Xenopus tropicalis: one gene and its partner. The protein of the gene in region 1 purifies or fractionates together with the protein of each later gene. This does not show direct contact. Links are inferred from orthologs where the notes say so. Each region holds a gene or a part of one and is shown in the gene's direction. Other genes may lie near its edges.

Region 1 (4,599 bases):
GATTGGCTATTAGGCAGCCTCTATGCACACTATCAGCTTACAGGGGGCTTTATTTGGTAGTAAATCTTGACTTTATTCAACCAAAACTTGCCACAAAGTCAGGAATTCAAAAATAACTCCCTGGTTTGGGGGCACTGAGAGCAACATCCAAGGGGTTGGTGAGCAACATGTTGTCCCTGAGCCACTGGTTGGGGATCACTGTACTTGAGCGTCTAGTCAGGGTACTGGCCTATTAATTCAGTTACCTTCCTTGCACACCTAGGGGTACATTTACTAATCCACGAACGTCCGAAAAGCGTCCGAATGTGTTTTTTTCGTAATGATTGGTATTTTGCGACTTTTTCGTGAATTGTCGCAAATTTTTCGAGCGCTCAATACGAAAAAGTTGCGACAATTTGCGAAATTCGTAATGGCTATGAAAAAGTCGCGACAATTCACGAAAGTCATAATGGCTATGAAAAAGTCTCGACAATTCACGAAATTTGTAATGGCTATGAAAAAGTTGCGACAATTCACGCAAGTCATAATGGTTATAAAAAAGTCGCTACAATTTACGAAAAAGTCGTAATGGCGACGAAAAAAATCGCAAAAATACGAAAAAGTCGCAAAATGTTCATTTTCCAATCCGAATTTTTCTCATTCGGATTCGTGGATTAGTAAATCAGCCCCCTAGTGTGCTCACAATTCACTAGTACTTCTTCTTGGGGTTCTGATGATCCTGGAATCTGAGCCACAAGATACAACATAGTGAAAAAAGGTATTCACAAAGGGATTCAGAACCTTTTCAGTACTGCTGACCATGGAGGTTATTATGTATAAATGAAATTCCCTGCTAGGGCCAAGAAAAGTAAGTATAAGAAATGTGAGAGATGTATTGGTAGTGTCCCTGCAGCTCTGTACAACCGAACACATTGTTGGTTGGAAGTGACATCACTTTTCCTCAATGAAACAAGTGGGGTCTTAAAACCAATCAGAACTCTAGGCCCTCGTAGCAACCAATTGGCGTAGTAGAAGCTTCCAGAATCCTCCAGCCAATTTCTCCCCAAGCGTGAGCTTACAGCCAGCCAATCGGCTTTAGAAGTAGTGAATGGGCGGGATAAAACAAGGACAAGGAAGTCTTGCTGGGAGAGTCAGCAAGGGGCGTGGGTACGTGATGGATAACAGCATTGACCTGTCAGCGAAGGGAGCTTAAAATGTTCGCCCAATAGTTGCACACTCGGTAGGCGGGAATTGAACTGTCATCGTTTAGTAGGTTCGAGAAGACGCGTGGGGAGGTCGGAATCAGAGGGTTGCAATGGAGGCGGTAAGTGGCAAATTGTTAGTTAAGAGTGATGGGGATATTATAAATGCTAACCCACACACTTGCTCCGCGTTATGGGACAAGTAAGCTTTCCATAGTTGCGGGGAATTTATACTTGTGGGTCAGTCATTAAGTCATGGAGTGAGGGTCTGGGCTATGTGGGATAGCTGTTCTTCCTTTCAGACGATTGGTAACTGCCCTCAATAGCATTCAGTGCAAGAGTAGTTGCAGAACTGCAGCTTCCAGCCGTACTGGCATTGTGGCGTCAGGAGTTATTTTTCTGCCAGTCTCTGCCATCTCATGCCACGTCTGTCAGTTTCTCCAATAGGGGCAATAGCTCACCCTTGTTTCTAGTTTCCATGCTTCTCCTTGGGATTTACGCCTGTAAAACCATCAGCCTGCAGACTGCACTGGTTTCTGTATAGCCATATGGTAGGCAACTTAGCTAATCAACCCTACTCTTATTTATTCTAAAGGTTTACTGTGTATTGTTCACCTAATAAAATTGTCATTATTTGGAACTCCCTCCACCAGCTACTGGTGATCTCTGGTGTAGTAAGAAGTTCATGGGTCCCACAGCAAAATAATTTTTTGGTTACCCTAAAATTTAGAAATAAGACTTTTGCATTGTGATGGGACATTGAATAGTTTCTGATGGGACACAGATATTGAAGGAAAACGTTTAAAAATCTGGATTAATCTGGATTTATGCTATTGTATGTGTACGTCTACATCTTTGAATAAAAGTTTTTACTGAGGCAATTATATTGGCATAGTCATCTGGGAAATCTGTAAGAGAGAATCCCAAGTATTATTAAAGAGGAAGGGTGGGTTCTGTAGAAATGAACTACAGTTCTTAAGACGGCTATAAACTTAAAGGTATTGACAGTAAGTACACGACTTAGTACAAATTCCCTCCCAGTCCTTGTGTCCAAGTAGCATTTAGAAGAGACATGTTTGTACCATGGCTATTGGACATTTTATAGACTGGACAGGTTTAACCATTTTGGTCGGTTTGGCCCAAAGAAACAAATTTCCAGTTGTGTGTAGTCAGAAGATAACCATAGAACAGCAATGGCAAAGGACGATGTACCAACTTTACATGCTTGGCCAGCCTGCCATCTGATCTTTCCTATGAACTTTCACATTTGCAATATATACATCTTCATATTAATAGTTTGTCATTTTATATACAGATGCAGTGGCAGGGTGCACAGATGCAAGTCAGTGTTATTGTTACTTTGCACTCTGTCCCTCCATCAGCACATGTAGGTGCAAGTAAGGACCTGACCATGACTTCAGCACTGCCTGCATTCAGTGTGAGGTAGTTAAGAGAGCAAATATGCCTCAGATGCAGGTGCACCCAAACCATTATTAAATGAGCCCCAGTATTTTGGCCTCTTTGTCTACAAGTGTTATGGAGAGGGATTCACAGTATGCAGCTTGATAATTTTTATGTTACATTTAGTTGGTTTCCTGGAAAAGAAAGTAGCGCTGGCACAGCTGGGCATAAGTAGGGTAATTGAATTGGAGTCCTTTCTCTTACCTATTCCTCTTAGGCAAGGGGCATATGGGGTGTTTTGCTTGATGTTGTCATCTAGTGAACAACAGCAGCATTCAAAATACCCCTGTCTGCCTATCGCAGCTCATTGTTCAGAGCAGTGACAGGTAGAAGGGCAATTAGCCTGCTGCTGTTTTATCTCTGTATGGCAGTAGTGTATAAAATGGCCGTGGGCCACAAGTTTTAGGCTAATGGTACACAGGGCTGGGAATCCCCTGATGTGGGAATTATAGCTACAAAAATGTCTGTAGAACATTAACCTGTGCTATAACAGAAATATATCATGCATATTTTATTATTATTTATGTTTGTCACCAGTTCCTTTCTACTGAACTGAACCTTTATTTTCTTATGCATGTTGCAGGATTAGGCAAAAAAAGAATTTTTTTATTTATTTATTTTTTTTATAGGTACACAGGGATCCAGATATTTTTTATGTATTATGTATATATCTCTTATTTTTATATTCAACCTGCAGTTGAGCATGTTATTATTTGTACTATTTGAGCCAAGGGTGCCTAGCAAGGCATAGTTTGAGGCAATGACATGTTTAAATTCTGCTTTCCCCTTCCCTTCAATTTTCTTTTCAGCCCACGCTGCCCAAAGTGAGTCAGAGTGGGGGTGGCAGCAATTTAGTTCCAGGCACCAGTGGCGCAAGAGTTAATTAAGCAGCAGTGGAAGGCATAGAGATTTGATATCTTTGTACATACTTTCATTATAACAAATGACATATCGTTATGTATATGTTTCAAAATTGTTGTCCCTGTTCTTTCCCATCAGGCAAACGCACTGAAAGAGAAAGGAAACAAAGCACTTTCAGCAGGGGATCTGGATGAAGCAGTCAAATGCTACACCGAAGCCATCAAACTTGACCCTAAAAATCACGTCCTGTACAGCAATCGTTCTGCAGCCTTTGCCAAAAAGAAAGAGTTCACCAAAGCACTGGAAGATGGCGGCAAAACCGTGGAGCTGAAACCAGACTGGGGGAAGGTGGGAGCTGTAGAGCTAAGCATATGTAGTGACCTGTAAACCTGTTGGTAATAATTTGTGTATATCTATAAGTGTCTTATTGTTATCTTTCTATTAGGGTTACTCTAGGAAAGCAGCAGCTTTAGAATTTCTGAATCGTTTTGAAGAAGCAAAGAAAACTTATGAAGAGGGGCTGAGGCACGAGCCAGCAAATGCACAGCTGAAAGAAGGGCTGCAAAATATGGAGGCCAGGCTGGCAGGTACTATAACATTTTCTGTTTCTTCCATAAGATGAAGAAGCCAGACAGTGTTCCCACTGATCCCTCTGTTTTCCCCACTCCTCTTCAGAGAGAAAATTCATGAATCCCTTCAACTCTCCAAACTTATACCAAAAACTGGAGTCTGATCCTCGTACCCGTGCGTTGCTGAGTGACCCCAGTTACAAAGAACTGATTGAACAGTTGAAAAACAAACCATCTGATCTTGGCACGTAAGTTGAGAACAGTTTCTCAGAACGTCATTCTCATTGTTGTGGAACCATCAGTTTAACCATATGTGTTGTATACTTTAGGGCTAACATAGGTTTTTAGCAGTAGCAGTGCAGTAAACCATAGCAGTCAATTAGCTTTGACTAATCTAGTGTAAGCTAGATGAGCATTTCTCGCTCTTTTGCTGTCAAGACCTTATTTATTTTATCATAGCCAGCAGACCTTATCCAAAGTGTGGCTAGTGACCTAACATCACCAATGCCTCTGTTAGGGCAGTGTCA
Region 2 (4,843 bases), on another chromosome or scaffold:
TACAATCTCTCATTAAGCCCATTGTATGCAAGAAGGTTTTATATTTTTAAGCTTGTCTTTTTTTGTAATAATAAATTGGTTGTTAAACAATTCTTTTGAGATTGTTTTAATGTTTAAATGATTTTTAAGTAGATTTAAAGCATGGTGATTCAAGTAAAGGAAAAACTATCTGGAAAAGGACAGGTGCCAAGTTTTTCTTATAATAGATCCCATACCTGTATATATTACCACTCAAGGTCTTAAACCAGTTGTTCCCAAACTGTGTGGCTGGCTTACCAGGGGAACTTGGAATGGTGGCAGTAGATCTCAGAATAAAGGCAGGGAGATTTGGGGAGTATATGTATTTACTATGCTTGATATTTTTTTTTAAACAAAGTCTGAATGACTGATGCACCTTTTCCTATATCTGAACTCATTTCATGATGATAGGGGCCCCTGGTCAAGCTGAAAATGTTTGACAACCACATATAAACCAGTCACCACTTGCCACTGCTTCTCAGTTTCCACAATGTTGATTTGTGTCAAAAGTGCCTAATGTATCATGCACTACTTAATAAGGACAGGATGTTAAACATTTAAAAATCTAATCACATTAATTGACAATCCACAATTACATGCAAGAAATACTTCCATACCTTCCAGAATTACCCTTTAAATCTGTACCAATTATGAAATCTCAGCAGTACAACATTGCATGTATTTCCAGCCTCTTTTTTTGTTATTGAAACAAGAAAATAGCAGATTCAAGGTTATAATAACAAATATACATTTGTATAACACTCCTTGATTAGAAGATCCTTTATATAAACCATACTTGTGGCTGGAGCAGTTTTTAGGAGCAAATATCATATTTTGTTTTATCTTTTACGTCACTGTTTATAAAATACAAAATCAAAACCATTATTGTCTGCATTAAAACAAAGTCATTATGTTGGGGATCGGTTTAGCGTAGCGAAGCCCTGCATGAGTGAGGCCATCACAGCGCATGTGATAGCGTGCACTGTTTGCGTGTTAATGTGTGAGACAAACGGGATCCTCACCTTGACAAACGTGATTGGGGTAGTGGTACCCTCAATATCTAACAGGATGACTGTAACTGGCGGCGGCACGGAGAATAAAGCCATTATGGCAAAGCACCAATTGCCCCGCGTTGCTGAATTGGTGCGACGTTCAAGTCAGCTCCTAACGCTCATGTGGCTGAATAAAAAAAACTGCTTCGCCGTAACAGGAAGGGAGGTTTACGGACATACGGATTAATGGGCAAGGTAAAAGTATATTTAGCTGTAGAGTTATTAGACGTTCGTTGCCGGAATAAATGTTTGCTCCTTGGCTAAAAACCACTCGAACAAGAAGGCATTAAAGCCTTCACTTTTCCCAAGCACAACCATTTTGCACACGACTACAAGGCGCCATATTCTAAAAACGCCATGTGACTCCATTGTGTCTATCCAGCGCTACATTACTGGGTAGAACTCCCGCATAATAGAAATCGGGCCAACGAACGCAGAGCAGCCACGCCCATCTCCGCTTCTCTCCAATAAAAACACAGCGCATTAACGTGACGACACTGAAACTTGCGAAGCCCATTGGCTAACTCTTTTGGTATATAAAGAGAGGGTGGGCGATTTCAGGCTCTTTTCCACATTTGCTTAGTGTGTGTGTTCGTAAGGGGCTTTTGTATTCGTCAATTAGACCGTAATCATGACCGGATTTGGTGCCACCCCGGACTTCAACGAAGGCTCAAAAATCAATGCCAGCAAAAACCAGCAGGATGAAGGGTAAGTATTCGCAGGTATTAGACGAAGTATTCCTTCAAATCTCGATTTGTCTGAATATATATTTTACAGGGCTGGAAATGAGCGTGCAGTTAATCTTCTTAAACGTAGGTTAGTGAGTAGTTTGGGCGGTATTTTTAAAGCCGCGAAATAGCTCTCTACTACGGTGCTGTTTGCGGTGGCCGAATTTTTTTGTTGCACTATCAAGAGGTTATATATCTAGTCTCGCGAGAAGAGCTAGCTGCGCTATATTTTCGGAAGGCCTAGCCTATTCTTTCCTGCGGATTAGGGAATAGGGAAGTCGTCATCACCAGCAAATAGGAGATCTCGGGCGGGGTAAGTGATGTATCGACCAATGGCATCGGCCGTGACGTCACATTGATAGTAATGCGCGCTCTTGGCGCAACGTGAACTGTAGGCGGCGCTGCGGCTCTCCGACTTATGCTTAGAAGAAAACTACACTGTTCTAGTCGAGCGACTCGATTTCTAGAGCTGTTGTATAACAAGCGCAGTGCTGTAATTTTAATATTTTGCGTCTTTTTCTTAGCCATATGTAACGACCACTGTTTTATTTTCGTGTGCAGCAAAATGTTCATCGGGGGTCTGAGTTGGGATACAAGTAAGAAAGACCTTACAGAGTATCTGTCTCGGTTTGGGGAGGTGGTAGATTGCACAATCAAAACTGATCCAGTGACTGGGCGTTCAAGAGGATTTGGCTTTGTTCTTTTCAAAGATGCTGTGAGCGTTGACAAAGTGAGTAATCTGCCTGGCTGGAGGTGTATTGTCTGTGCCTAAAATCAAGTTAACTTATCACTTAATATTTTATTAAGGTGCTTGAAACAAAAGAGCATAAACTAGATGGCAAGCTCATTGACCCAAAAAGAGCTAAGGCACTAAAAGGCAAAGAGCCTCCCAAGAAAGTGTTTGTTGGCGGACTCAGTCCTGAAACAACAGAGGAGCAGATCAAGCAGTATTTTGGTGGATTTGGAGAAGTAAGTATACTGTTTTTTTCTTAGATCACTTTGAAATGATCTATTGATTTAGTTGAGTTTACTGTTGGCTAGCACATAGCTTTTCTTTTTTGTGATATTAAAGGAGTTGTTCGCCTTAAGATTAACTTTTAGCATGATATAGACATTGATATTCAGAGACAATTTGCAACTGGTTTTTATTTTTGGCTATTTATTCAGCACCTCTCCAGTTTGCAATTTCAGCAGCTATCTGATTACTTGTTTACCTTAACAACCAGGCAGCGGGATGAATGAAAGACTTGAACATGAATAGATGAGGGACTAAATAGAAAGAAAAGGATTAAAAAGTAACAAACACTATTATAGTCTTAAAGAGCAATAGGCTTTTGGTTCCTGGGGTCAGTGACCCCCATTTGAAAGCTGGAAAGATGTAGACAAAGAAGACAAATAATTTGAAAACTACAAAGAATAAATGATAAAGATCAAATGCAAAGTTGCTAGAAATAGTAGGGCACCATTCCAGAGTAAAGCTGGCAAGTTTCACATACTGGGTGGCACCTAGGATATTGAGGGGGGGGGGGGTGCTGGGCATTGCTTACTGTTAGTGTTAAATAGCATTTAGCAATGGAATTTAGACTTTTCTGTGTAAAATGAAGCTGAATTGTTTTGTCCCCCTCACAGATTGAAAATATTGAGCTGCCAATGGACACAAAAACAAATGAAAGGAGAGGCTTTTGTTTTGTCACCTATACAGGCGAAGAACCAGTAAAGAAACTTTTGGAAAGCCGGTTCCATCAAATTGGTACAGGAAAGGTACGATTTGCCAGCTTTTTCCTGTTGTCTGTACTTTTAATTTTACGAAGTGAAATATTAAGTTTTGGTTTTTTTACCCATAGTGTGAAATAAAAGTTGCACAGCCCAAAGAAGTCTACAGGCAGCAACAACAGAAGCAGCAGAAGGGAGGAAGAGGAGCAGCCACTGGAAGGGGTGGTGCCAGAGGAAGGGGCAGAGGTGGGTATCATATGGGACAAGTGTTCTTTGGCATGTGCCATTGCTGTACCTTATGCAGTCCACTTTTTTCTTTTTTTGCAGGGCATTCATTTGTCCTATGCAGTGCAAAAATTAGTTTTTTGGGTGTTTTTTTTGTTGCTAAATGTCTTTGAAGCTGCAATTGACTGTTAATGCTTATGCTGGCCCCATGTTTAAAAGATTACTGCAAAACTCCAAGGTTTGAACGGAACTTAAATTTTTTTTCCCCCTCTTTTAGGTCAAGGTTGGAATCAAGGCTACAGCAACTACTATGATCAGAACTATGGAAGCTATGGAAACAATGGTTCTTATGCTGATCAAGGGTATAATAACAGTTATAGTGGTTATGATTACTCTGGATATAACTATGGAAGCTATGGATATAATCAAGGATACACAGACTACAGTGGTAAGTTTTCTGGAAAAGCTTTCATTTGCAGGCACACACTTGATAATGAAAAGTTAGTCATTGAGGTAGTTAATTCTTAAGGTTATGTTATACTGCTTCTTTGGAGAGACTTGGGGGGAAAAATGTGTTTTAAAAATACACTTAAATGAGAAGAGAAACTTGGCAGCTTTTTGTTAGTAACTACAAATTTGCTAGCAGCCATATGCACAGTTATGTACATTTGCTGGTAAATACTGGCTTAATTCAAAGATGACTTGTTTACTACTCCAGTTTATGGTTTGCATTAGGTATAATCTTTTATAAAAATCATTATTTTGGCTTGTGCCCCTTAACTTTAACGTCGTTCTACTTTTTAGGGCAACAAAGCACATATGGCAAAGCAAGAGGTGGAGGAAACCATCAAAACAATTACCAGCCTTACTAAAGCGGTGACTATTGAAACCTAAGGTGGGTACTTTATGCTATTGCTGATGAAATGCTGATGTGTGGGTTATTTGTTGTGTTTGGTTTTTTTTTTTACATTAAGCTTTAATAAAGAACTTAAACTGTGTCGACTGAATTTATTAAAACTTTAACATTCAGCGTTTGCTTTTAAACTGATTGCATTAGATGTCTCTAGAGCTTAGAGTTAAACGCGGCCTTAAATTGTTTTTTCTCCC

Evidence for each region. Proteins that work in one complex are often made in the same cells at the same time.
Region 2: the proteins of stip1 (region 1) and hnrnpdl fractionate together in Homo sapiens (co-fractionation; 3 studies listed by BioGRID, with this or other methods). This does not show direct contact. The link is inferred for Xenopus tropicalis from reciprocal best matches to the Homo sapiens genes STIP1 and HNRNPDL.

What each region holds. Positions count from the first base shown.
Region 1 is NC_030680.2:35,680,058-35,684,656, reverse strand, and holds the start of stip1 (stress-induced-phosphoprotein 1), read left to right. Parts: upstream 1-1,288; 5' UTR 1,289-1,294; coding exon 1,295-1,303; intron 1,304-3,641; coding exon 3,642-3,851; intron 3,852-3,948; coding exon 3,949-4,090; intron 4,091-4,178; coding exon 4,179-4,320; intron 4,321-4,599. UniProt on the Homo sapiens protein: Acts as a co-chaperone for HSP90AA1. Mediates the association of the molecular chaperones HSPA8/HSC70 and HSP90.
Region 2 is NC_030677.2:82,326,600-82,331,442, reverse strand, and holds the start of hnrnpdl (heterogeneous nuclear ribonucleoprotein D-like), read left to right. Parts: upstream 1-1,635; 5' UTR 1,636-1,701; coding exon 1,702-1,778; intron 1,779-2,359; coding exon 2,360-2,528; intron 2,529-2,605; coding exon 2,606-2,767; intron 2,768-3,427; coding exon 3,428-3,559; intron 3,560-3,642; coding exon 3,643-3,757; intron 3,758-4,013; coding exon 4,014-4,184; intron 4,185-4,540; coding exon 4,541-4,608; 3' UTR 4,609-4,631; intron 4,632-4,843. UniProt on the Homo sapiens protein: Acts as a transcriptional regulator. Promotes transcription repression. Promotes transcription activation in differentiated myotubes. Binds to double- and single-stranded DNA sequences. Binds to the transcription suppressor CATR sequence of the COX5B promoter.